Linked DNA regions of Stegostoma tigrinum. The protein of the gene in region 3 interacts with the protein of the main gene of each other region in a biochemical or structural test. Links are inferred from orthologs where the notes say so. Each region holds a gene or a part of one and is shown on either strand. Other genes may lie near its edges.

Region 1 (6,995 bases), on a different chromosome or scaffold from region 3:
TGTTCTCCAAACAGAGTTCACAGCAAAAGAATGGGTACATGCTCTCTCCCTGATTGAGTTAGTTAATAATGTATTAATGACTCGGAGGGAGGGAAGTGAAGATACTGAACCAAATTTACAGATAGACAACACTAAAAATAGATATAAAGGCAGGTTGTGAGAAGCATACAAATAGTTCACAGAGACAGGCTGATAGGTTAAGTGGGCAAAAAGTTAGCAAATAGACTGTAGTGTGGAAAAATCTAAAGTTGTTCTTTTTGGAAGGAAAACTAAAACAAAATTGGACAAAAAATTGCAGAAAGGTGCAACACAAAGGAATCGGGGATACTTGTGCATGGAACAGAGAAAGCTAACACAGATGCAGCAATTAATCAGGAATGCTAATTGAATATTGATCCCTATTTCAAGGTGTTGGAATAGATGAGTCAGAAATCTTACTGCAATTGTACAAGGTATAGTGAGACCACAACTCAAGTGCTGTGTGCAGTTTTGGTCCCCTCAATTGAGGGAAGATATTACTTCATGGAAGGCAATTCAGACAAGGTTCACTAGAAAGATCCCTGCTTTGGAGGGACTAAGATCATAAGACAGCAGAAATTGGGCCATTTAGCCTATCATGTCTGCTCTGCTATTCAATCAGGTTTCACAACCCCATTCTCCTGCTTCCCCCCCCCCCCCCCAAAAAAATTACACATTCTTGATGCTAAGGGTTATCTGTCTTAAATGTACTCAATTGTCTGATGAGCAAAGGCTAAAGAGGTTAGGACTCACTGGAGTTTAGAAGAACAAGCAGTGGTGATCTCGTCGAGACATACAGGATTCTTCAGAAGCCTGACAGGGTAAGTGCTGAGGGGGATGTGGAGCCTCATGAGAGTCTAGGGCCAGAGGCACAGACTCAGAATAAGAGGGGCACCAATTTACAACTGAGATGAGGAAGAATTTCCTCTCAGATGTTTGAGTGTCTTTGGAATTCTTTGCCAAAAGAGAGCTCTGGGACCAGTGTCCTTGTGTACATTTTAAGGCTGAGGTAGATAGGTACTTGATCAGTAGAAGAATCAAGGACTATGGAGAGAGGGCAGAGCAGGAAAGTGGATGTGAGGAATGTCAGATCAGCCATGATCTTGTTGAATGGTGCAGCAGTCTTGAGGGGCTAAATGGTCTACTCCTGTTCCTATTTCTTATGGATTTACGAACTGATCTCAACTCTTTCCTGCCATTTTCTCAATGCTGGATTCCCTTATTGATGAAAAATCTCTCTCAGCCTTGAATAGACTTTACCCAGAATGCTGCAGTGACTGGTTAAGAATTCCTCAAATGAAATTCCTCATCTGTCTTTAACAGGCAATCCTTCACTTGGAGATTAAGCCCTCTGATACTAGTCTTTTCCACAAGGGAAGCATCTTCCTGCATCTACCCCAATAAGCCTCCAAAAAAAATCTCATCTGTTTCAATATTCTCATTCTACTAAATACCAATAAATTCAAGCCCAAACTACTCAACCTCTCTGCATAAGAAAATCCCTCCATAAACTAACCTAATGAATCTTTTCTGGTCTGCCTCAAATGTCATTATATCTTTGCTTAAATCATGGGCCCAAAGATGTTCACAGTATTCTACTTGTGGTCTGACTTGTATCTTTCATAGATGAATCAAAACCTCTTAAATAAACCTATTCCCTTTGAAGTAAAGGCTAATTATGCATTTGAAATTCCTGCTACCCACTGAATTTGAATGCTAGCTTTTTAGTAGTGAGGATCCCAAATCCTTGAGCAGCAGTTTCCTGCAATCTTGCCATTTTAGATAATATTCAGCTATTCTAATCTCCCCACTAAAGTGCATAACCTTACAGATGGAATATAATGTGAAAAAATAAGAATTTTTCCCCCCCACTGTCTAAATCTCTCCACACACAGTACATCATCCTTGTATTTTCTGAAAACTGATATTCCATTCACTTCCTTTCCCCAAGCCAGTGTTGTTGTAAATTGTGGCCCCAGCACTCATTCTTGTGGCATCCCATTAGTTACAGGTTGCAATCTTGAAAAATGATGGCTTTATCCTAACTCTATTCAATTAGCTAGCCAATCCTTTATCCATGCTAATAGAATTATCCCTTGCACCACTAGCTCTTAGGCACCATCTTATTGAAAGCCATTTAGAAATCAAAATATATAACACTTCCTCTAACTTATTAGAGCAAAGAATTCTAACAAATTTGTCAGGCATGATTTCCTGTTTATGAAGCTAACTCTGCTTAATTGTATTATGCATTTCTAAGTGGTCTTGCTTTAGATCCTTAATGATAGATTCAGATTGCTTCCCAATTACATTAAGCTAAGGCTTATTATTTGTATTCATCTCCTTTTTTTGGGTAAGGGTGTTGGATTGGCAGTTCTTCAGTCCTCTGAAAACTTTCCAGAATTCTTGGAAGACTACTACCATTCCAGCTACTTCCTTTAATACTCTAGGATTCAACTCAGATCCAAAAGCCCAATTAGTTCAAGTTACATTTCTTCCCTTTTTTACCCTCTTAGAATCTTCAACATGAAGACTGATTTAAAGTACAGTTGGTCCCCAATTTACAAACATCTGACATCATGATCACCTGTACATATGAATGCAATCCTATACATGGTTGTAATTTTAATGATCCAACATATGAACATTTTCTGTATTTACAAATACCTACTTTATATTATCCTGCATTATGTTCCAACATGCATAAAGATTAATTTGGAAGTGGATTCAAGAATGGAACCCATTGCAACCTGATTACCTCTTGGAATTTTTCAAGATTTTTGCCATTTCCTAGTTTCCCCTCACCTCATTATCTAAATGGCCTATGGCATGTTCACTTTGACCTCATGCTTCCTTTTGAAATATTTAAATAAGGTCTTACTCCTAATTTTTGTATTACTTGCTAGTTTGTGTTCACTTCTTCTTCCCCCCCCCCCCCCACTGTCCTTTGGTGGCTTTTAAAACTTGTCCAATTCTCTGGGCTACCATTAACTGTCACATTGTAGGTCCTCAGCTTGGTACTAACCTTGACTTCCTTGATTAAACATAGTCAGGTTTACTCCCATCATACAGATATACAGTCCAGAAACACATCAAGTCCAACTCGTCCATGCTGGCCAGATGGCCAATATAAATCTAGACCTATTTGCCAGCATCTGGTTCGTACCCCCTTAAGCGTTTCCTATTCATATACCCATCCAGATACCTTTTAAGTGTTGTAAACCTACCAGCCTCCACCACCTCCTCTGGCAGCTCATTCCACACAGGCACCACCGTCTGAGAGAGCGTGTTGCCCCTTAAGTCCTTTTTATATCTTTCCCCTCTCACCTTAAAACGTTTTTGAAGAAGGGTTCCAACGCGAAACGTTGACTTTTCCTGCTCCTCGGATGCTGTCTGACCTACTGTGCTTTTCCAGCTCTGCATTTTTGACCCCATCATATCTGCGTCCACCAACACCCCAGACCGCGTGTTCCAGACTCCTACCACTCAAAAATAACTTGCCCCTCACATCTCCTTTAAATTTCCTTCCCACACCTTAAATGTATAAAACATAATTGTAATACGTATAAAAAAAGTGAACTCGAACTGATCTACAGAAATATACAAAATAAGTGAACCTAACAATATCGTGTAGAACATGGTTACATATAAAATAATGCGAATTTAAGACGTTTTGCTACTTATGAAGTTTAGCTTCGGGGAAACATTTCGTTTGCACAGAGAATTTAATAGATTGATGTATCCTTGCCTTCACTGATGAGCGTATTCTCACCGCGATTGAGGCTTCACATTGGTTACGGAGGCGGAAGGCCCCGGCGACGAGGCGGGCGCTGATTGGCGCATTCCAGCGGCGGCAGTTTCAAACGCAAGGGGGCGGTTAGAGGCCCAAGTCCGGAGAGACCGGGGATCGGGGAGCGATCGTGGGGGAGGGGAGTGACAGGGGTATTTAGAAGAGACCCGAGGGATCAGTGAGGCCCAGGGCCGGTGACAGCAGTCCCACACCGGCACCATGAGTCAGGCACAGCCGCTAACGAAAGAGAACAGGCGGCCCCCCTTCAGGAGGAAATCCTCAGTGGCATCCAGCAGCCGCAGCTCCCCAGAGCCAGCGGACAGCAGCAGACGGTGAGTGAATGGAAGCCGGTGGTGGGGAGTCTGGAGTTGAGCTTGCACCCGTCCTTCACCAATTCCCTCTCCCTTTCAATGTTGTTCCGTTAACACTAATCTTCACATATAGTTATACCTTAATTGAATAACAAGCAGAAACAATTAAGTAAACTCGTCAGTTTGGTCATGCTTTTGCTTAATACATGTTTGAAAATTTCTCTGAACTCGTGTGCTTTGGTACTTAATAGCATGCAACAAAAGTCATAGAGCTGTACACGGTAGGCAAATAGGAAGCTGGAAGCAGGCAACGTTTCGGGTATTACCCTTGTCAGGACTAAGTAAAATCGCAAACCGAAAGGTAGCTTAAGAGATCATATTTAGTTTAGTTTTGATTTTAACAAGGTGATCTCTGACTGAAACAGAAACACATAGAATCACAGATTTGAACAGTATGAAAACAGATGCTTTGGTCTAACCTATGCTGACCAGATATCCCAAACATATCCAGTTCTATTTCCCTCTAAACCCTTCCTATTCATGTACCCAGCCAGGGCCTTTTCAATGTTGTAATTGTACCAGCATCCACCACTTCCTCTGGCAGCTCATTTCATACATGCACCACCCTCTGAATGAAGATGTTGCCTCTTCGATCCTTTTTAAATCTTTTCCCCTCTCTCCTTAAACCTATGTCCTCTAGCTTTCAACCCCCTCACCCTGAGAAAAGATCTTTACTATACCTCCCAAATCCCTGCCCCTCATGATTTTATAAACCCCTATAAGGTCACTCCCTCAGCCTCTGATGCTACAGGGAAAATAGCCCCCGTCTATTTAGCCTCTCGCTATAGCTCAAACCCTTCAGCCCTTGTAACATCCATGTAAAACTTTTCTTAACCCTTCCTAGTTTCACAATACCCTTCCTATTGTAGGGAGACCAGAATTGCATGCAGTATTATAATAGTGGCCTAATCAATGTCCTGTACAGGCACTACATGACCTCCCAACTCCAAAATTCAATGCACTGACTAATAAAGGTAAGCGTACTAAATGCCTTCTTCATTATCCTATCGACCTATGACTTCACTTTCAAGGAACTATGAACCTGTACTCCGAGGTTTCTTTGTTCAGCCAAAATCCCCAAGATCTTACCATTAAAGGTTTAAGTCCTGCCTTGCTTTGCCTTTCCGCATTGCAACACCTCACATTTACCTACATCTGCCACTCATTGACCCATTGGCCCATCTGGTCAAGATCCCGTTGTACTCTGAGGCGATCTTCTCCATTGTCAACTACACCTTCAATTTTGATGTCATCTGCAAATTTACTAACTATACTTCCTAAGCTCACATTCAAATGAAAAGCAGTGGAAAATCTAAAGCAAATTCTTGATATAAGCTTTACATTAACATAGCTCAATTATTTTTGATTTTACACTTTTATTATTTCAAAGTCTTCTACCTTTTGAATTTTTTATTTAGTTTCTTTTGATGTTTTTCAAGTTAATTGGACAACATTTATTTTTGGAAAGTGTTTTCTTCTTACTTGAGTATGTCACGACATGGGAGCTTAGCTATTTAAGTAAATGTTTCTCAGTCAGCTTTGCATCGAAGCTGAAGTTGCTTGTCTGCATGACACTATTGATTTTACTGACATTGATTTTTGTGTGGGGATTCGATTTAATTGTAATGCATATAGGATGTACTTTGATATTCTAGAATTGATGTTCTTGGAAACATTGGCATACGTCTTCCAAGTTATTCCTGATTCCATGTCAACATTTTCTGGATTGTTTGTACCACATTGCTATTGTCTATGCCAAAACTGAATTGTTAGTTACCCACTTTCCATGCTATCCATATACTCCCATAAAATTATCAATAGTGATTGTGAGTTCCCTGCTGTTACCACGTAAGCTGGAAAATCATGTCTATAATGATGGGACAGCCATCTGATTTCATCAGAAATAATTTGTATTTATATGGTGACTTTAATGTCAGGAAACAACCAAAAATACTTTGAAGCAGCATCATGAATAAAAATTTGACATCAAGCCACAGAAGGAGATATTAGGCCAGATAGAATCATAGAGCTGTACAGCACAGAAACTGACCCTTTGGTCCAACTTGTCTCTGCCAACCAGATATTCTAAATTAATCTAGCCCCATTTGCCAGTATTTTGCCCATTATTCCTTAAAACACTTCCTATTTATACACCCATCCAGATGTCTTTTAAATGTTATAATTGTACCATGCTCCAACGCCACATCCTCTGGCAGCTCATTTCAACACGTGCCATTCTCTGCATGAAACCATTGTCCCTTAGGCCCCCTCTCACCTTAAACCTATGTTCTCTAATTTTGGACTCCCCTACTCTGGAGCAAAGGGTACCCTTGGCTCTTCACCCTATTCATACCTCTCATGTTTTTATAAACCTCAATAAGGTCACCCCTCGGCCTCCAATGTTCCGGGGAAAATACCTGTAGCCTATTCAGCCTCTCCATATAGCTCAAGCCCTCCAACCCTGGTGACATCCTTGTAAAGCTTTTCTGAACCTTTTCAAATTTTACAACATCTTTCCTACAGCAGGGAGACCAGAATTGAATGCGGTATTCCGATTGTAGATGATCCATTATCCTGACCAGCTGCAACATGACCTTCCAACTCCTGAACTCAATGCAATAACGAATTGAATGCCGTATTACAAAGGTAGCCGAACCAATATCCTGACCAGCTGCAACATGACCTCCCAACTCCTACACTTAATGAACTGACCATAAAGGCAAGAGTACTAAACTATCCTGTCTATCTGTGACTCTAGCTTCAAGGAACTGAGTCTACACCCCGAGCTCTCATTGTTTGGCCACACCCCCTAGGAC
Region 2 (6,857 bases), on a different chromosome or scaffold from region 3:
TCCCATTCTTTAGATGACATGTCCATCATGGGCCTCCTGCAGTGCCACAATGATGCCACCCGAAAGTTGCAGGAACAGCAACTCATATTCCGCCTGGGAACCCTGCAGCCTAATGGTATCAATGTCGACTTCACTAGCTTCAAAATCTCCCCTTCCCCCACCACATCCCTAAACCAGCCCGGTTCGTCCCCTCCCCCCACTGCACCACACAACCAGCCCAGCTCTTCCCCTCCACCCACTGCATCCCAAAACCAGTCCAACCTGTCTCTGCCTCCCTAACCTGTTCTTCCTCTCACCCATCCCTTCCTCCCACCCCAAGCCGCACCCCCATCTCCTACCTACTAACCTCATCCCACCTCCTTGACCTGTCCGTCTTCCCTGGACTGACCTATCCCCTCCCTACCTCCCCACCTATACTCTCTCCACCTATCTTCTTTTCTCTCCATCTTCAGTCCGCCTCCCCCTCTCTTCCTGTTTATTCCAGAACCCTCACCCCATCCCCCTCTCTGATGAAGGGTCTAGGCCCGAAACGTCAGCTTTTGTGCTCCTGAGATGCCGCTTGGCCTGCTGTGTTCATCCAGCCTCACATTTTATTATCAGGGAAAATTAGTACTCCACTTTGCAAATACGGACGTGGAGATTCTGGTGAATGGGAGGGTACAGGGGAATGCCATCTTCTTTCTCCTCCAGGATCAGACTAGAAGGCACAACACCAGTCCCTGCCACTCAGAGGTTGCCATGCAGGTCAGTACTATCTCTGTAATGCCCAGCAGTGTAACAGGAAGATTAATTACCATATCTGCTCTGCCATGGTAGGTCTGCCACTGTCTTCTCTCTGACAAATCACACTCACTCCAAATCTGCTACTGCACCTATCTCCACCAGTCTCATGGTCTACCACTCTCAATCTTGCATAAAACATTTTATCTCAGTCACTGCACAACACCCCTCCCCGCCAACGACCCTCAACAGCACCAGTAACCAACCAAACAACTAACAGCGCACAGCCAGTGTGCCCCTACTCACTCACTTGAGACACCCATATTTCTAGCAGCAACAGCTGTGCCACACACTTTCATCTCACTCAATTCCTCCCTTTGTCTTGTTCCAGGATAATAAGACTCATAATAGGGCAGACAGAGCTAAGGCAGTGGTGGGATGCCCATCATTTGGCTCCATAAGCCTACAAATAGAGGATGCTAGCGCTTGCTAGTGAGGACTGGAATCATACCTGTGGTGATGCTGAAAACATCATATCCTGGAGTTTGCATTGCTGTGCTGCTATCCTATTAACACCATGGTGAATGTGTCTGAACATGTCCAAACTTGTTCACGACACATTCTCACTTTCGACTCCTTCAGGTATAGGTGATATCAGCATGGTCTCGGTGCTCAACACCACAGCCCTTTAAGACATCCCCTCCACTCCCTCTGAGGTAGAACACATGGGTGCCTCAGAGGATGAACTGTCAAGGCTGCCATATGCACCCTCCACCAGCTCAGACACTGACACATTGGTGAGTATTTTAACTAGAACAGGGATTATCTACCTGTGAGTAGACCACCGCCACTTTGCCATAGCTGGTTGGGGGAAAAGGCATCCCAGGTTGCTGGCACTTAGAAGATTGCTGGAGAGCAAGTATTTGCTCAGCTGCAAGCAGGAGAGGAACCCATGGTGTCAGCACTTACAAACTTCATAAAAATGCGCAAGTAGACATAGGAGCAGCAAATAGGTTTGTTGGAAGTACTGGAGGGATTGACACAAAGGTTGCATGACTGCACTAATGCTGTTAGGATCCTGCTGCGTCTGGTATATGAGCGCCTGGCTGACAGCTGCCAGATCCAGCAGTCTCAGAATTTGATGGATACACACACAGGCCTTCACTTCCATCTTTCCGCTATTGTTGCTAGGCGACAGGGAACTTTGGTCTCACTCAGTTTTTCCTTCCTAGTCAGCATGTAAATGGAGAAAGAACCACATAGAGACTCTCTAGAGGCCTCCTCTTAGGACACACCAGTCAGGGGACCAGGCCTTACACTTCTACATCACCTGCCACAATCCCCCAAGGCATGGAGGAGTTTAAGTTGATTAGGGTGAACGTCTCTCTGATCACGACACTCACAGCGTATCTGGACCTTGAGATGCTAATGTTCGATGGGGTCACCAAAGCAAAACTCCAAGATCAACAGGCCGCACTGTCGGTCAGGTTCTCTCTACCCCAACTACAGAACCCGGGACTGAGTTGTACTGGGAGAGAAGGAAAGAAGAAACCTTCTCTGGACACACACCCCCGAACACTATGGGCAATTTTAGCATAGCCAATCCACCTAGCCTGCACACCTTTGGACTGTGGGAGGAAACCAGAGCACCTGGAGGAAACCCACGCAGATACAGGGAGAATGTGCAAACTCCACACAGACAGTCACCCAAGGTTGGAATTGAACCTGGGCCCCTGGTGCTGTGAGGCTGAATTTCTCAGGCTCACCACTCCTTGGATGAAGAAATGTCTCCTCATCTCCGTCCTAAATAGACTACCCTGAATAGGTTTCGTTTGGAAATTTGAATTGTCCAGTATTACCATTAGCTGGATTCATAACAAGGTAAACACAGAGAAATGAAAATAATGCATGTAATGCAATACACGCCCCGACCACTCTCTGAGTAAAGAACCTACCTCTGACGTCTCCCCTATATCTACCTCCGCTCACTTTAAAAACTATGCCCCCTCGTAATAGCTACCTCCACCACTCAGAAAAGTCTCTGGTTGTCCACTCTATCCACACCTCTGATCATTTTGTACACCTCTATCAAGTCACCTCTCATCCTTTGTTGCTCTAAAGAGAAAAGCCCTAACTCTCTCAACCTTTCCTTGTAAGACATTCCCTCCATTCCAGGCAACATCCTGGTAAATCTCCTCTGCACCTTTTCCAACACTTTAACAGGGTGTATGCTGAGCTGGTGTGATTCAGCTATGAAAAGACACTAAATATGCTTGGCATTGTTTTCCCTGCAGCAGAGGGCGCTGAAAGGAGTTAGGTGTACAAAGTTTTGAGGGGCGTAGCCAGGTTAGGTAGGTACAGGTTTCCCTCTCGTAAAAGGATCAGTAACCAGGGATCATGCGAACTGCAGATGCTGGAGAATTCCAAGATAATAAAATGTGAGGCTGGATGAACACAGCAGGCCAAGCAGCATCTCAGGAGCACAAAAGCTGACGTTTCGGGCCTAGACCCTTCACTCTCTGATGAAGGGTCTAGGCCCGAAACGTCAGCTTTTGTGCTCCTGAGATGCTACTTGGCCTGCTGTGTTCATCCAGCTTCACACTTTGTTATCTCAGTAACCAGGGAGCAGCTTTAAGGTAAGGAGTGGGAGGTTTCAAAGGCATGTGAAGAAAGATGTTTCCACCAGAGGGCTGTATCTGGAGCTCACGACCTATAAAGGATGGTAGAGATGTGAACCCTCAAGACATTTAAGAACTATTTAACTGACGACTTGAAATACCACAACATTCAAGGTTGAGGGCCAAGTGTGGTAAATGGGATTAGAATAGATGGACGATTAATGACCTGCTCAGCTACGATGGGCCAAAGGGTCTCCTTTAATGTTCTTCGATTCTGTGTGCATGTGGGATTAGATGCCCCACGAGTTGTAATTGTTGGGGACTGAAATATGTCCTTTTTAAACTACAGTGTGAGATGGACACCAGCAACGACATTATTATTCGTTTGTTTTCTTTTTACCTTCGATTGCTTTAGACCTTTTTGTTCTGATGGCTCTAGAGCAAACCCAGCCGACGCGTAGTTGTTTCTCAAAAGGAAGGTATACGCCCACTATTCGATATGCGCGCCCAAAGCTTCAATTTAAGAGAATGAAGTGGTGTGTATTGGTACTCTCCACAGCTTTCTCAGCGCTGCAGAGGAAGGCTGTCACTCCACAACATGACAACCGAAACTCCCCGTCCGCAAGGCGAAAGCCTCCAAGTTTTCAAGGGGACCTTTATCCATGCCACTGACACTTCCCCAATGGAAACTCTAGCCCCTCGTATCCTGGGAGTAAACGGGATGGGAAAGGTGAGAACTCGTGTTTCAAATTTCCCGTTTATAATACTGCCAAATCGGTTGTTAAATTGGAATGTTCTTCAGGGGTCCGCCGAACGGTGCTGCATGATTTGAGTTTTTTTTATATATAAAAATGGTTACATGCAGAAGTAGCAGTTTTCTGTCCCTGATCCAAATGTCATAGTCAGCTGGCTACTTGTCACCCGGGCGGTGCGGGGGCTCACTGGTTAGCGCTGCTGCCTCACAGCGCTAGGGACCTGGGTTCGATTCCAGCCTCGGGCGACCGAGGTTTGCACTTTCTCTGTGTGGGTTTCCTCCCGCAGATTGTCCATAATGTGTAAGATGCCCGTGAGGAAACAAAAACAGGAAATTAATAGAAAAGTTCAGAACGTCTGCCAACATCAGCGGAGAGGAAATCAGGAGTAACGTCTCAGATCATGGGGAAACGCCAGGCAAACGGGTAGGGGGAGATGGGATGCTCTTCAGAGGGTTGACGTGGGCTTGATGGGCCAAATGGCCTACTGTTACACCACAGGGACTCATCTTGTCACTTGTAAGGTTTAACAACCCAATTTGTGTGCAAATCTTTAATTTTATATTTACATGTCAGAACACAATACAAGTTCCTCAATTAACTCGAACCCAAGGTTCCAACACATATGCAAACTGTAAATAAAACAAAGAATCGTGGATGCTGGAAATCTGAAATAAAAACAGAAATTGCTGGAGAAATTAGATTTGCGGCAGAAATGGGTGGAGAGAAAGCAGATACTGATGTTCTCCAGCAATTTTTGTTTTTGTTTATAATTTAGGGAATTGTATTTGTACAGGTTCCGTGAGACAAATTCTAGTCGTGGTATAATCTCGGTATGAGAATTTATACTCTCTAATAAATACCAAGTGTGGCTATACAGTTGTTAGCTTTAGTTTTCTCTCTTTGATTGAGAATCCAGAGTCCATAGTTCATTACACGTAAAACATAAAAATATGCAGATACTAAACCGGTTCTGTACAGTCTTTACTTTCCCCCGTCTTCTGGTTTCAATTATTTTATTATTCTAAAAACCATGGGAAAGTAGTTTGGCAAATAAAATGCCATGAACTAGGCACATTGTCAAATCTCTTACCATATCTCCTCAGTTAGGACCAGTTAGTGGAGAAACATAGAACTATACAGTGCAGAAGAAGGGCATTTTGCTCATCATGCCTGGCCAGCCCTTTAGTAAAGCTGTCTAACTATTTCCACTTCCTCTGCTCTGTCTGAATGACCATTGCAAACGTTTCGACTTCAAATATTTATTCAACTTGCCGTTGGAAATTATTACTGAATCTGGTCCAACTGCCCTTTCAGGCAGCACATTCTGGGTCACAACAGCGTACTGTGAATTTTTTTTTTGTTTTCTTTGCGTTACAATGGTTCGTTTATCTACCATATTAAATCTGCGTCCGCTTTGATAATTGACTCTTCTGCCACATGAAACATTTATTCTGTATTTACTGTAACGATTTAAACATCTCTGTTAAAAAACCTGTTTGCCTGATCTAGTTGAAACAGGATAAGACGTAATTTTGGAATGACTCACCCAAGTTGAATTTGGCAAACTCGTTCACCATAGTCTACTCAGCGGAATAGGTGGAAATAAAAGGAACAAAAAGAAGTTCCACATCATCAAAGCATGTTATTTCCAGGCGTAATCATTTACTGCTCTTGGCAAATGAAACAGAAACCAATTCCCTATTTCACATAAGTTACTGTCATATATATTAACAAGTTTTACACCTATTATTTATAGAAGTATTATGATTGTGAAATGGATATTGTAGATATAACTGATTAAGCAGCAACATATAAAAGGCTTGTGCTGAGATTTAAGAGGTGATGGAATTTGGAATCAAAATTATGAATTGCACTGATCTACAGAGATATGTGGGATCTATTTGAGTAGAGGTTGCTTGGTAGAACAGAACTTGAATGTTGTTGAAAAATGAGAGATGGTTTTATTGCAAAAGTACACTTTACTCATAAAGATAATTTTTTAACGTACATACACAGATTCTAAAGATGTTCTCTACGGCCTTTGCATAAAAAGAAAATAAAACAAATATTGAAATCTGGTATTCCCTGCAGTTGCAGAAACCAAAGGCGTTTCCTACTCATGCATGGCACTACTTATATTCATCTTGGGGCAAACAGAGGATCCAATAATTGAGCAGGCTCCTGTGCTGTACTGTTCTATGTTCTGTCTTTCTCCAGGCCTTCTTTAAAAAGGCACATTGCAGAAGGAGAGAGTGACAGCCTGTCCTAACCCCACTAACAGCTGCTTTAAGGGCAGTGTGCAGTGGAGCACAGAGACTGGGTATGCAAAAAGGATCTGATGGGCAGTGCCCTTCCCACCACCGGCTAAGCGATATCTTGGTGCTCATTGGAAAATTCTGATGATGAGGAATTCTGTGAAATGACTTTTGACAGTCTGCTCAGGGAACCATGCAACAGGATCCTTTTCTTGAGTGCACTACTTGTTGATCACTTCCTAATGGACTTGTGGTCTAAGGTGTTTTTCTTTGCAGATTTTTCCATGAAGGACAGGTGATATAGAACAGCCCAACTACTTGGAGCATTCTGTGGTGCCAAGGCCAGTCCCATCTCTTGCAAAACTGGGGAGAGGTAAAGCAGTGACACTTGCTGCTGCGTTTGGAGGGTCTACGCACAGCTTGATGCAGCCACACACAAATGTGGCCATCAGGATGAGGGCAGCATTGGGTATGTCTTTCTCCCCTTTATCCAGAGGTTTGTACATTTG
Region 3 (7,053 bases):
TCCTAGCTGGGTATGGAAGAAGGACATAGTGCACTGACATACGTAATCCTCTGAAGGTGTTCAGAAGATGGTTGTTGCATTTGGAAAGACAGTGTTTGATTAAGAGTAGTCAGCACAGCTTTGTGTGTGGGAGATCATGCTTCACAAATTGTTAGAGCTCTTTGATGAAGTGACCAGGAAGATTGATGAGGGGAGGGCAGTAGATGTAGTCTATATGGATGTCAGTAAGGCCTTTGATAAGGTTCCATACAGTAGGAACAAAAACAAAGTTGCTGGGAAAGCTCAGCAGGTCTGGCAGCATCTGTGGAGAAGAAAACAGAGTTAACGTTTCTGGTCTGGTGACCCTTCCTCAGAACTCAGAAAGTGGAGTCACAGGTAGACAGGGCAGTAAGATGGCTTTTGGCACAATGGCCTTCATCAGTCAAGGCACTGAGTATACAGTTAAGAAGTTATGTTGCAGTTCTATAGGACATCGGTGAGGCCACACTTGGAGTATTCTGTTTAGTTTTGGTCTCCTTGCTATAAGAATGATGTTATTAAACTGGAAAGAGTGCAGAAGAAATTTACAAGGATGTTTCCAGGATTCAAGGGACTGAGTTATCGGGAGAGGTTGGACAAGCTAGGACATTTTTCTTCACAGTGGAGGAGACTGAAGGGGGATCTATAGGAGTGCATAAGATCACGAGAGGCATGGATAGGGTGAACACACTCAGTCCTTTTCCCAGGATTGGGGAATCAAGGACCAGAGGGCATCAGTTTAAGGTGAGAGAGGAAAGAATACATGGAAACCTGAGGGGCAACTCTTTTACACAGAGGGTGGTACGCATATGGAATAGGCTGCCAGCAGAAGTGGCTGAGGCAGGTGCATTAACAACATTTAGAAGGCATTTAGATGTGGATAGAAAAGGTTTGGAATGATATGGACCAAGTGTAGGGAAATGGGGTTAGTTTGGATGGACATTTTGGTCAGCATAGACCAGTTAGGGTCAAAGGGCCTATCTCCATGCTGCAGTACTCTACAACTCCATAAAAGGCTGACTTGGTCCACATGCCTATTTCTCCATTCTTATTTCAAAACTACATAGTGTCTGATACACTAAATTGCATCTGTTGTATATCTGCCCATCTGATAGCTAATTGTGTCTCTACTATCTTTCACAATCCTTATTACAATTTGCAAAATCTCCCAATTTGGTAGATTTGTCAAATTTCAATGTGTCTATCATTCGTTATTTTATCGAATGGAAGTAGTGGCACAGTGACTAACACTGCAGCCTCACAGCAGCAGCGACCTGGGTTTGGTTCCACCCTTGGGTGACTGTCTGTGTGGAGTTTGCACATTGTCTCCCCGTGTCTGCGTGGGTTTCCTCCGGGTGCACCGGATTCCTTCCACAGTCCAAAGATGTGCAGGTTAGGTTGAGTGGCTATACTATAGTGCTCAGGGATGTGTAGATTATGTGGGTTACAGGGGGATGCTGAAGAGTTGGTGCGGACTTGGGCTGAAGCGTCTGTTTCCACACTGTAAGGAGTCAGCTCTAACTCTTCAACAGAGTTCCAAAGGAACTCCATCAACAACAATTTTTTCAGTCTGAGAAACTTCCTTTTCTCCCGACTCGTTATTTGTTGTCCACCAGCTCTCTATTCTTGCCAATGACCACCTTAATTCCATTTACATTAATTTTTGGCAGAAATCACTTGAAAAAAGTCAAACAAATCATCTTTCTTCAAATAATTTCGTACGAATCGGGAATCGCATTAATTTTAATATTCTTTGTCGAGTGTTCACGATTACCTCACCTTTCATTAAAGGAAGGTAATATCAACCCATGTTATGGATTCTAGTAGATTATCACTCAAAGGCAAATGTAACCCCTTGACCAATAAAATATTATAAACGGGACATAAAATAATACATAAAAGTAGCACATAGGAAGGATTGGGTTGGAAAGATACTACGCTGAGGGCTGGGGAGGGGGGGGGGAGCGTGTGAGGAAACTAAACTCTTAGTTTTTGTTTAGCACCTGTCCTAGTTTAAAGGCCAACATGGAAATTCATTGCACTGGAATCATAGCATTACGCTGTCCTGATTTATACTACTATAATTACATTTTCTATTAAAACACACAAGCTTTATGGATCGATTATATACGCAGCCTGAGCTGTAAAACCCAATCCAAGTTAATTAGTCAACAACCATACTTCAAGTGAGATTAGCCTATCTATAAAAAGGCAAAACATCAATAAAACATAATTTGTTTCTCCCTTCAGCTGTGTTAACAACAATTTATCATGTGTCCAGGCCAAACTTAATCTTGCTAGTTTACTCAAAATGTATTCTCCACAACGGAGAAACATAATCTGTGGAGCACGTGGGCTTTCAACAATAAATATTAAATGCATGTGAGAAACAAAAAAAAATTTGCACACAATAAAAATATTCCCAAACTTCTACTCGCGAGTTGTTGCTCTGCCTTTCCGTATGTTAACAGCTGGGAGAAAATTATCAGAAATCTTACACCCAAGTATCAAACAAGTTATGTCCGCTCGTGTCTAACTTGCAAACAGATTTAAAAATGCCAAGCACAATCATGGTAACTAGCAACCTCCGTCAATATTCACAGATGGTTGACCTTGTGTATTAATTAGCCTCAAAAATCAGGACGCTAAGATTAGAGATTTGACGAGTGAAGAGTCCGATTTTGTTCTCATTGGTTAAAAAGTGTTAAAACAAACGGTTACTCACGCCGAGTTGTACATTTCGTGCAAACTAACAAAACACACGTGGCAGGGAGAGTCCAAGAGAAAATAAACATCAAGTACTGTATTTTATAAAGATGCTACACTGCACCTTCTCTGTGAACCATTGTTGAGTTTCCTTTAAATCTCCACACTCCTACCCCATTATACCAAGGAGTGACTGCATTCATCGAGCGGTACTTTGCAATCGACAGGATTTGTGAGAATTTTCATTCGGCGCTTTGCTATCGTCTCCTTCCTGCTCCCAATGGCGCTGCTGCTGCTGTGCTGTTCAGATTTAATTCCGTTGGCAAACCCGCGACTGCTCCATTCAAGACATTCCAGCAAAAACAGAACCGGACTCAGACTGCCATCTGGCAAATTCCGTGCATTCAGACAGAGAATCAGAGAGAAGTGTTGTGTGAATGAAAGAAGATCAAGACAGGGCGCAGGAAGACAAAGGAATTGGGAAAAGTAAGAGAAAAACATGCTGACAGGTAGAAAAAACAGTAAATTGACGGATTTGAAAGAGACTGAGATGGCGATAAAGTGAGAAACGGAGCAAGAAAGAGAGATTAAAAAGTGAAAAAGAACGGAGATAAATAGTCAGGGGAGTTAAACAGACAAGAGGCCCAGATAGAAAGATGAGGAATAGTATTAACACGTACACGGAGAACATATGAGAGAAAAGCTAATATCTCATAACCCTTTAAATGGCAAAGTGTTTCCTAATTTCACTCCTGAAAATCCTATGTTTTAACACTTTGCCTATTTATTCTTGATTTCCCACTAAGGGAAAATATTTTGTTATGCATGCAGGCTTTAAATGTTTCAATTTTATAACCACTTGATTTTTAAACTTAGAATTCAATGCCAGCTTATGCAACTGGTCTTCATTTTTTTAACTCTTTACGCCCTGTAATCTTCCTGCTGAGTGTGTATGGTACACCCTTCAAAGAACAATATATAGTTTCTGAACTTTCAAGTGTCCAAAATTAAACATAATGCTGGGCTCCCAGTTGCTGTTTGACTAAGATTCTGTGTGATAAATTCTTCAATTTTGAACTCCAACATCCCTGAGTTCAAAGATGAGATTATATATTAGATTTTTGTGCCTGTTCAGTACTATTTGGAGATTTTACACATGTATCCTGTTTCTTCACAGTTTGTAGGCTTTCAATGTTAAGAAAGACACAGTGAATTTTCAAAAATCCCATGCAGATGGTCTCAGACATCCTCAGATTAAGCTACCTCTGCCAAAGTTTGTCTTAATCAATCAGTCTATTAATTTGCCTTTGCATGTTTGTGCTCCCACCTAGAATACTTGAAGAGTAATTCCAAAATGATTCCACCAATCTGCTGCATTCATGTGTTCGGTTTATTCCTCAGAGATATTTAGAAATGATACACTGGTTTGTATGTGTGTAACAGATGTTTCATTCAATGATTGAAAATGTCTGCTGAGATGCTGACAGCAACTTGACTCATTTTAGTCATTTTTTTAATCTCCAGTCACCACATCCAAGCTTAACTAATCAGTCACAGTACAGAAATAAATCAATAGATATATAATTAAAGTAGAAAAATGGAACATTATTGCTTCTCCCATTTGTTAAACTAAAGTCCTATATCAAATTAAACCACCCTAAGGAAAAAAGTGTACGTCATTCTTTTAGATTCACCTTGGCCACTTTCACTGTGCATAGCAATAACCTTTAAGATATGAAGGTGACTTTTGAGATATTGTCACTAAGAATCCAAAATTCCCTGAATGCTAGAAAGCTTCCAGTGCATTGGGGGAAAAAATGCTTATATAACACCCGTATTAAAAAAAGGGAGGGTGGTAAACAGTAGGAAACTATATACCAATTAGTTTAACATCAGTTAATGGGAAATTGTTAGAATCCATTATTAAGGAAGTAATAACAAGACATTTGGAATCAGATGGAGTTAGGGTAATTTATCAGTTTGGATAGAGGGTTTGCTTTCCAACAGGAAGCAAAAATTTGGGATAAATGGGGCTTTTTCTGGTTGGCAAGATGTAACTAGCAGGAACCTTGGTGTTTGGTCCTCGGGCTGTAACGATTAACAATCTATGTTTATGCCTTGGATGCAGGGATGGAAGGTTCGATAGCCGAATTTGCAGATAACACTAAAATAATTGGTAAAGTAAGTTGCAACAGTGAAATTAAAAAGAAAATGAATAGGTTAAGTAAATTGGCCAAAATCTGGCAGATTGTGTTTAACATGGATAAGTAAGAGATTACAGTCAGCAGCATAGAAAGACAATTTATCAAAATGGAGAGAAACTTCAGAGTGCTTCAGTACAGAGAGATCTAGGCACCCTCCTGCATAAATCACAGAAAACTAAATTGTGGGTACAGCAGATAATAGGAAAGGCAAGTGGAATTTTGGTATTTATTGCTGAAGGAATAAAGTGTAAATGTTGCTGCAATTGGTCAAGGCATTAGTGAAATTGCATCTAAGTATTGTACACATTTTTGGTCCCCTCACTTGAGGAAGGATACAGTTATATTGGAAGTAGTTCAGAGGAATTTCACAGATTGATTCCAGAGATGAGGGATTTGACTTATGAAGAGAGATTGAGCGGTTTAGACCTAAACGGTTCATTGTTTTGGAGAATGAGAAATCTAATTGAGGTTTATAAGATATTAAAGGGATTGACAAAATAGACTCCTCTTGAGGAGCAATCCAGAACAAGAGGCCATGGTTTTAAGATAAGTAGCAGCAGATTTAAACCGACAGGGCAGAATTGTTTCTCTGATACGATGTTGAATCTGTGAAATTCACTACCAAAATGTTTCAACCGGAAATGTTGACTTTCCTGCTCTTCTGATGCTGTCTGACCTGCTGCGCTTTTCCAGCTCACACCTATACACTCTGGCTTCCAGCATCTGCAGTCCTTATTGTCTTGAATGTCACAGTTGCTCATTGTAAAAAGAAATGATGTCATAGCCACTGACCTTGAAGTGTTCTAGTCTGCAATCAGAATGTTTCGTTCTATTTTTTGTTGTCACCCACAAGTGTCAGTACCAAACAACTATGTGATGTGTTTTGGATATGACAGAGATGATGCAAGTTTGCAATTGTGATTTCACCATTTGATGCAAAGTCAATCTCTAATTTCAAATAATCATTCCCAGCTTGCTTGTCAAAGTATGCTTTTGCTTTACTTTATTACTTTGTAATTTTTTTTCCTGCTTTTGCCCTGAAATTCCTGCTGGATAACGTTTATGATTTTGGAGTTGTCAATGGAATGCAAAAGTTATGAGCAGTTCTAAGTTCAGCAGTGTCTTTTCACTCAGTGTGGTGTAGATCGCTGTGTGAACAGAACATAAATGGATTGGTCAAATGTTCTCCTCTCTTGACATTATGACTCTCAATGTCCTCGATCACTCTGTTGAATACCTGATGCCACCATTCAATTGTGGTGAACTTTGTGGCTTGTTGGAACTCACTAAACTGTAAATAAACTATGGGCCATTGTCTGTTGTGATGGACTGTAGCAAACCCCATTTCGTAAACAATTTGTCCAGAAAAATCACTTCAGTCATTAGTTATTATCAAATTTGTTACAGCAGTTTCCTGGCAATTGCTATATTGATCATGAATCACAAGCAAAAATCTTGGAATACTAGTGGCTGCTAGCACTTTGCTGAAAGTATCTACTCTGAGTCATTGTCAAGTTTCTGTTGGGCCTGCATTCAGTTGTAGAGGTGTGGGACATAATTCTACATGTAAAATTGTGGCAAACTAACAGAAAGTATGTCCCTACTTCAGAACTAGAAGGTTCAAGTCCCACCTGCCTCAGATATTTATCATAACATTCCTGAGCAGGTTGATTTAAAAATAACAGTGGTACAATATTTAACTGAAGATCATGAGGCCTCTGGCTCAAACGCAGGTGTACCCTTTCATATGTAGCTTCCAACTGTAGTGGTGCCTGTCAGAAATTGTAGGCTCAAGTCCTGACTGCCTTTGATGTGTGTCATAACGTGTTTGAACAGATAGAGTAAAATGAATACAAACTACACATTTTAAAATAAATGCTTTTATATGGCAATCTGTTTGTAACCACCAGATCACAAGGTAGTTCCTTCATTTTCACATCACCAAGGTGACCTTTTCAGATGGGCAATATGCAATACATGTTGCCACAGATCTTTGGGAATAACCACTTGAGTTCTACATGCATTACAGTTGTCAACAAACTCTGCAAATTCATTGCATACTCTATAGCATAGGATGGGTTATTCTTCTATTTTGCAAATCTACTCAGTTTTTGCTACTTTCTGC
Region 4 (7,501 bases), on a different chromosome or scaffold from region 3:
TCCTTGATCACAAATACAATAGGTGACCAAGAGCACCAAGCCTCTGCATTTGGCACCAATGTCGCTCTACGTGTGTGGGCCTCAATAACAATGATCATGAAGCCATTGGTGATTGTGATTAGTGGCCAGATGAGTTTTCAATGACTGCCATTAGAAGGAAATCAGCTGTTCTTGTCCAATCTGGCTGCATGTGTCTCCAGATTCCCAGCAGTTTTTCAGATTCCCAAAAGCCCTCTGAAATGGCCTAGTAACTCGCTCAGTTGTAATGTATCACCACAAAGTCAAAATGAATAAAACAAAGTGAGACCACCAAACATTGACAAAGGCATTGTAAATGAGAGTAACAAATCCACCTCAGGCTTGTGCCAAGTTCAACAGAGCATTACCACAATTGACTTAAAGCAACAATCTGAGATGTGCATTGAATCACTGACAATCGTTGAAATACCAAGCCCCAGACTCAACCACAGCCAAATCTGTGTATGTTCTGAACTAGTGTCAGCAAGTAGCCAAACACCATGAATCTCACAGCATCAAGTCAAATATGGGCAAGGTAACATCCTGCTGATAACCACTGACTAACCCCTGTCAGCTGGTGAACCAGTACTTTTTCATGTTGAATACAATTTGGAAAGAAGCACTGAGACTGGGCATGCTCCAGAATGTACTCTGCTTGTGGCTTTAAGAGGTGTGTTTTGTCCTGGTTTCTTTTAGACAGAAGTTGCAGGAATAGGTGTTAAGCAGTCAGTGGCGTTAAACAATTTGTGAAGCGTTGGGTGTTCTCCAAAAGTTGGAACAATAGAAGTACACGCCGTCGAGACATACATGCCCAGGATTTTGCAGGTTTTGCTTTATTTAGTAGGTGTGAACTGAAATTGTGGAAGGAAAAGACGTCTCTCTCTGGGGCGCTGCTGCATGTAGCTCTTTCTTGCTGATAGGATTGAATGTGAGACAATCTGTCTTCTGAATTTGCATTTTGTTAAGGGTGTGTTTATGGGGTATTACTATAATGGAACAGGTAATTATTAATAGTTACTGTATCTACTGTTCTGTTAAATTTTCTAGGAGAGTTGTTGATCCAATTCGTCCTCTCTCGTGTATTTTTACTATAGTGCATGAATAAAGGGTGTTCTATTTTAAATCTGGTGGTTTAACCAATCAAATTGCATCTGGAATGAACACCTTACATTTACCTTTAAAATAAGAAAAAGCTAGGGTCTTAACTACCTTCTGAATAGTTAGAAGGAGGTTTTGGTCTGATCCTTAACTTAGTGGCTCCACTATTGACTAGGCTTTGAGTTCTGAAGGTCATAGAAGCTAGACTGCATTTACAGCAAGTGGTAGGTGAATTAACAAGGAGAAAGAAAAATCCTACCTGGCCTCATTAACATGGCTAAAACTGTTTCAGATGCATGGGCCATTGATAGAATTGGTATGACGCCCATCATGCAATCTGTCTGGGCATAAAGCCCATCTTCACATTTTGGATACTCTTCATTGTGTTGTGCCATGCTAACTGGGACAGACTTTCAACAGATCTTGACAGTTCAAAGCAGTACATCTGTGAAACGTGATGAGCCATCAGCAGAGTTCAATCACAATTCCATGGCCCAGCATATTCCTTAATCTACTGTTACCATCAAATTGAGGATTAACTCTGGTTCAAAAAAGACTGATTGAGGCCTTGTCAGAAATAGCACCAGGCATACCTGAAAACAAAGTATAAACCTGGTGGGAATCTGAAACAGAATTACTTATTTGCCAATGAACAGAAGCAGACGTAAGTCATCCAAATGGTCAGATTTAAAATTTGCAGTTCTCCCACAACTAGGTGTGAACAGGGATGGGCAATTTTCTAAGTAACAGAGGATAAGGCTCTACTCCTCAACTGTGGAACAAGGCTGAAGAACTTTGCATCTACCTTCAGCCAGAAGAGCAATGTGGATGATTCATGATGAATGGACTAATGTATCAAATTGGTCCCAATAAAATTACAAAGTGTGTGTATTCACCACACAACTTGAGAGAAACTGGAAGCAGACTTCCAGGTGAGTTTTAATATGTGGTTGCCCAAACATCAGTTGATCCAAAAATAACTGGCCATAGTTAATGATCCAGAGTAATTCTATCTGTTGTAAATTGGCAGCAATCTCAGGTTAAAGCACAGACATGTTCAGTGGCAGGCACGGTTGTTTACACATGTAAAAAAATCCTGGCAGAGGTCCTGCATCAGTAGTGCAGCGGCTAATTGATGAATTCTTAATGTAACCCACACAATAAGGACTAACATAGGAAGGTCAATGAAAAATCAGGAAGCCAGGCATGTTCACTGAAAATTACTCCCATTAATTTTTCCAGTTTTGACAGTCTGGCCTCCAATCCTGGAGGAATGTGCATTGACATTAATTGGTCACTGACTGATTCATTTCAGGAGCAAAAATAAAAGGTTGAGTTTCTGACTATACAGGGAGTTGTACAGTGGAGGGAAAGGAACCTAGCTTTCCCATGTGGGTTAATTCTGGTCTCTGTAATGTATTTTCTCGGAGAACTGCAACTCCATTTCTATCCCAAACTTCGTCTAACTGGAGAATGATATGTAATCCCAAGTGGTGTTCCTGTGATTGGAGGAATATTGTACTTGTGGAATATAAATGCTCATAGGAATTAATATAGTAGCTTTGTAGAAGATCAGACGCTTGCAGAATTGGCTGCGATCCTGGCTGAAAATGGTCGGGTCAGCCATAATCTCACTGAATAATGAAACAGACTCAATGGGTCTATTGCCTGCTTCTGCATCTAATGGCCTTATTAAACCAGAGAGTTTATATAAATGGACCTTTGACCCATCAGTAGAATATGATCAGTATAGTCCCACAAGTGTTTGTGCTGGGCCCTCAACTTTTTAAAACCTGTATCAATGATGGGAGCAATGGCATAGTAGCTAAATACAAAGATCACCATATGATAGTTGGGAAGTATGTTGTGAAGAAGACGTGAGGTTGTGGTTGGATATAGGTAGGATGAGTAAGTGTACAAAAATCTGGTGATGCAGTATAATGAGGGCAAATATTAAGTTCATTTTGGCAAGAACAGTTAAAATATAAACAATTAAATGGAGAATGATTGCAGAATTCCAAGGCTCAGAGGAACTTGGGTGTTCTTGTGTATGAGTCAATGGTATGTGGGAACAGCATGCAGTCAAGAAGGCTGATGCTATCCTTTGTTATGAGAGGAATTGAACGTAATAGTGAGGATGTTGTGCTTTAGTTGCACAGGGTATTGGTGACGTGCAGTATTGCTAACCTTAATTAGGCAGGGAAGCAACTGCATTGGAGGCAGTTCAGGGAAAAATTATTAGCTTGAATGATGGAATGAGTGGATTGAGAATAGGTTGGGCAGTGACTGGACTTGTTTCTATTGGAGTTTGAAAGAGTGAGGGGTGATATGAATGAAGTGTATAGAATCCCGAATGGTGTAGACAAGTGGCCAATGGAAAGAATGTGACCTTTTGTGAGGCAGTTTTAAAATTGGGGGCACCCTTTTTGGATAAGGCTGCGGAGAGATTCCTTTTCTCTCAGGGTTGTGTGGCTTTGGAATTCTTGGCATCTGAGGAGAATGGAGGTGGGCTTGTTGAATAAAATCAAGGTGGAGGTAGACAGATTCTTGTTAGTCAAGGGAATCAAAATTTATCAGGGAATGTAAAATTTGAAAAAAAAACATGGATCAGCCATGATCTTATTGGATAGAAGTTAGCTGGAGGGGCTCATATTGGCTCCTTTTCTTTGTTCATCACACACTTACGATCTTGCAGACATTTGGCATCCTTTAATTGCAGCAACATATTTAATATACATTGAGATGGTATGCCAGTCTTTGAGAATTCTGAGGTATCTTAAATCCTCTGTTTGTGAGATAACAACTTTTAGAAACTTAGAACAGGTGTCAGCCCGGGTAATGAAGAAAACAAAACTTTTGACAGTGACTGGTCATTTCAACCAAGTTTTTAAAATGAAGAAAGGATTTGAATTTAGCAATGTTTAATATAAAACAATTGTAAGCTGCTTCTGTTTAACGTAAATAAAGATTTGAACCTTCCGGTGCACTGTGTACCCTTTTGTATGAAGTTACCTTGAGAATTAGTTTTATAGAAAGATAACTAGGTTTCTGTCTAGGCAAGATTGATGTTTAATTAAATCTTTATCACCGTGTTTTCTTTAACTATCCTTTTGTTGCAATGTTTCGTTATTTTTCTCGGAACTCATGAATCTGTCAATTAAATTGTAAAGGTCAAATTGCCATTGTGTACTCGCAGAGAAATATTCTGACTTGTGCTCACCAAGCAGCAGGATCTATTCATATGCAGTTTCCACAACAACTCTCGAGGGTTAAGTGTAGTGGGAAATATGTAGTTTTGCAGACGGGAAACAGTCGCTGAAGTGAGGGAAGAACTTAAGCGAGCATCATGTTCCCGTGCATTTTAACAGGCGAGAGCCTGTACAGGTCGGAGTCAGAATGATAGCGCACCTGTCTAAAGCGAGCTGTTTTCCTTTCGAGCACTAGGTTTTATTTTGCTTCTTCTGCGGCGTTTGCCTCCCCCTACACCCCTTCCCCCTCCAAAAAAAAGATTTTGCTTTAATTTGTCATCAAGTGTTGGCTGTGATTGGAGCAAACCCGAGAGGAGACAAGCAAGCAGCAGGAGTGATTTTGCGTGCATCCTCGGAGTTGCTGCCTGCCTCGGAGACTCCCACTCCCAGTGGCTTGCCATTTGACTGAGGGGCTAAGAGGGGTCAGTGGGAGCATGCCAATTGGTGGCGGGGGAATGTGAGCACTGAACGCCGGATCTCTCAGGGAGAGCCAATGTTACCTCAAGCCGGAGTGGATGGACCCGTGAATCTCGGAGCAGGAGGAAAGGGAAGCCGTTCCTCTCCATGTAGCCCCAGTCGATTTGAATAAGGATACATTATGGAGCTGGAGTGAGGACACAAGAGCTTTCTGCATGCATGGATGTGTTTAGCTTTGTGAAGATCGCAAAGCTGTCAAGGTAAGCGTGCCTCATACATCCTCTGAATATTGTCCACTGCTCATTAGCGACTGCAAGCTCCCCGTCCCGTGGAATCCGCTCGATTGGATGTACAGCCACAACAGGGACAGCCGTGAAGACACGATGCATCATTTTTAGGAGCAGCAGCATTTTTACTCCCTATGACTAACGCTGTCTTAGTGTAATGGTTACAGGCAGATAGGTTGTCGAGCTTCGGGGATAATAGAGATGCAGTGAAAAGGGTGTGTAAGTGGGAAAAGAATTATAGCTTGGTGGAAAATTGGAGAATGATTTCATTACATTTTACTAGTGGCCAATTTCGATCTTTAGAAGTCTTGAAGCCGGTGTTTGATGGCTTATTAACAGTAACACTTCGATGTCTTCCCAACTGTGGGAGAATATTGAATCTTTTTTTTCCAGTGTGCTGAATATTACGTGGGGGGTGGGGGGGGGGGGGGAACAGAACGATAAATCAACTGTCCTTTATCGCTGATGCCCTGGTCGAAAAAAAGTTGAATTCATTTTTAGCGTCGCCAAAGCTACTTGTTTGATATGCTCCGGTGTTGAATAATGCTCAGATGGTCGTATTTGTGTCTGATGGGTACATGAGCAAATGTCAGTTTTAATTCGGCTGATGTTTCTGAGTCTGGCATTTATTTTGATGTAAACCAGCAGATATTCCTGACACTTTAATTGTTGGGTGCGAGGGAGTTTGGGCTCGCATTAAGCAATGGCACTGTGTGTCTGTGGATAATTCTCATTACCCCTCCTCTCTCAACAACATACAAACATTCTCTCCGCTGGTGTACACCCTACAAACAGGCACTCGTTTTAAAGAAATGTCACTGCACGCGCCTTTGCTGGATGATCTTTAGTTTACTGTTAATTATAATCTGTCAGAAATTCTTCAGGTTTGATCACGCAAATGAGAAGATACCTTCCAACGCCAGCTTTTCCCCTGCATTTCGATGTAATGGGTTTCACTGTAGGGATCAACTTTGTCTCTCAAATTATATTAAGTGACTTCGTAAAACGGCAAATTCACAACTTATGGATATTTTAAAATAACAATGAAAAATACACGTTGCATGGTATTTCTTAGGCAGGAAGGATATGAAAAATAAATCGACTAATCAAGTTTTCAGTTATTGTGAATCATTTGAATCTGCTTTGGAATTCTCTGAGCACTGAACATATGCAATTCTATGGAAAATCTCTGTCTGCAACTTTCCAACACTTAAGTTCCTGAAGTAGAATTAAACAAATGTGAAGTACAGTTTACTCACTGGGCACATGAAGACCTGGGTATTATCAGTATTTGTTACTATTGGGATCTGTCCACCAGTCTGCAGAACATATGGTTCATGACCAAAATATTGTTTTGTATTGCAATACATGAAAGAATAGAAAAATATTTGCTTGTTTGTACAAAGAAACCTCGATGGATTCCTGGAAGGAAGGAAATACATTTACATCGAGATTTTAAAAAAGCCCTCACAAATCCTGAAGATTTGAAATATGTGATTAAGGAAAGCAATAAATGTTGCAAAATAACAGATTGTTGGCTTAGAATCTACATGAGACAAGATAGGTTTGTGTTTCTGATAAGGCCTTTCAACATGACATGAAAGTTAATCAGTCTTCCTTCAATGCTGATTAATTTCCCATGTGCTTTCAAAATTTGCTCTTTTGTTATCTAACTGAGAATATAGTGAAGTCTTAAGTTCTTGCTGTCACCTTGAAACTGCTTACTGATAGAATCAGTTGTAAATGATTATACACCATAAACTTGATTGGGTGGTGTTATTCAGTTTTGAGGTCTAATAACAGTCGCTATGCGCTCCATGCTTTCAGAGCTGAGGCATTCGTATTGACTGAGAAACCGTTACGACACTAAGTTTGTCAAAAATCAATACCTGAAAAATTTAATAACTTTGTATGTTTTAGAAAATCTGCGTTCTGCTGTACAGTTCTGCATTAAGAAAATAATCCTTCAAATTAATAGAATTCACAGAAGAATTGCAAAGGAAATGGCAGTATCAATTTTCCAAATTGGTTGCAATTTATACCAAATAGCTTTACCCAAAGACAGTTACGGGCACTATTTTTCAGTGGTGATCTTCACAATTGTATGTCATTTTAGTGCACTGGGACATATGCAAACAACACACCTGTGGCAGAAATAGCAAATGTCATACGAGTGAAACGTAAAGCATGTGGTGGTCAATAAGAAACCTTGGATTGGGAAATGACAACACCTCTGGCTTTAGGAAAGCATTTCAATCTGTCCACAGATCTTGAAAGGGAAGAGATGAAAAACGTGAAGGCTCTGGAAATCCAACGTGCAATCTCGAGACTGCAGCCATTTCATAATACAGTCCAACTCTTTTCCCAGTTTTTATGATTGCTCATGTTCAGGTGATGCTGCATGAGTGCAAGGAGGGTGGTTCTGTTCCTATA

The links.
Region 1: the proteins of dlg3 (region 3) and net1 interact in a test that uses a peptide from one of them, tested with the Homo sapiens proteins (2 studies listed by IntAct, with this or other methods). The link is inferred for Stegostoma tigrinum from reciprocal best matches to the Homo sapiens genes DLG3 and NET1.
Region 2: the proteins of dlg3 (region 3) and gda form a complex in vitro, tested with the Homo sapiens proteins (2 studies listed by BioGRID and IntAct, with this or other methods). The link is inferred for Stegostoma tigrinum from reciprocal best matches to the Homo sapiens genes DLG3 and GDA.
Region 4: the proteins of dlg3 (region 3) and frmpd4 interact in a test that uses a peptide from one of them, tested with the Homo sapiens proteins (2 studies listed by IntAct, with this or other methods). The link is inferred for Stegostoma tigrinum from reciprocal best matches to the Homo sapiens genes DLG3 and FRMPD4.

The regions. Positions count from the first base shown.
Region 1 is NC_081378.1:11,121,461-11,128,455, forward strand, and holds the start of net1 (neuroepithelial cell-transforming gene 1 protein), read left to right. Parts: upstream 1-3,979; 5' UTR 3,980-4,027; coding exon 4,028-4,140; intron 4,141-6,995. UniProt on the Homo sapiens protein: Acts as a guanine nucleotide exchange factor (GEF) for RhoA GTPase. May be involved in activation of the SAPK/JNK pathway Stimulates genotoxic stress-induced RHOB activity in breast cancer cells leading to their cell death.
Region 2 is NC_081356.1:29,512,463-29,519,319, forward strand, and holds the start of gda (guanine deaminase), read left to right. Parts: upstream 1-3,852; 5' UTR 3,853-3,936; coding exon 3,937-4,068; intron 4,069-6,857. UniProt on the Homo sapiens protein: Catalyzes the hydrolytic deamination of guanine, producing xanthine and ammonia.
Region 3 is NC_081368.1:39,704,901-39,711,953, reverse strand, and holds the start of dlg3 (disks large homolog 3), read right to left. Parts: upstream 3,010-7,053; 5' UTR 2,928-3,009; coding exon 2,849-2,927; intron 1-2,848. UniProt on the Homo sapiens protein: Required for learning most likely through its role in synaptic plasticity following NMDA receptor signaling.
Region 4 is NC_081365.1:63,272,091-63,279,591, forward strand, and holds the start of frmpd4 (FERM and PDZ domain-containing protein 4), read left to right. Parts: upstream 1-4,494; 5' UTR 4,495-5,000; coding exon 5,001-5,041; intron 5,042-7,501. UniProt on the Homo sapiens protein: Positive regulator of dendritic spine morphogenesis and density. Required for the maintenance of excitatory synaptic transmission. Binds phosphatidylinositol 4,5-bisphosphate.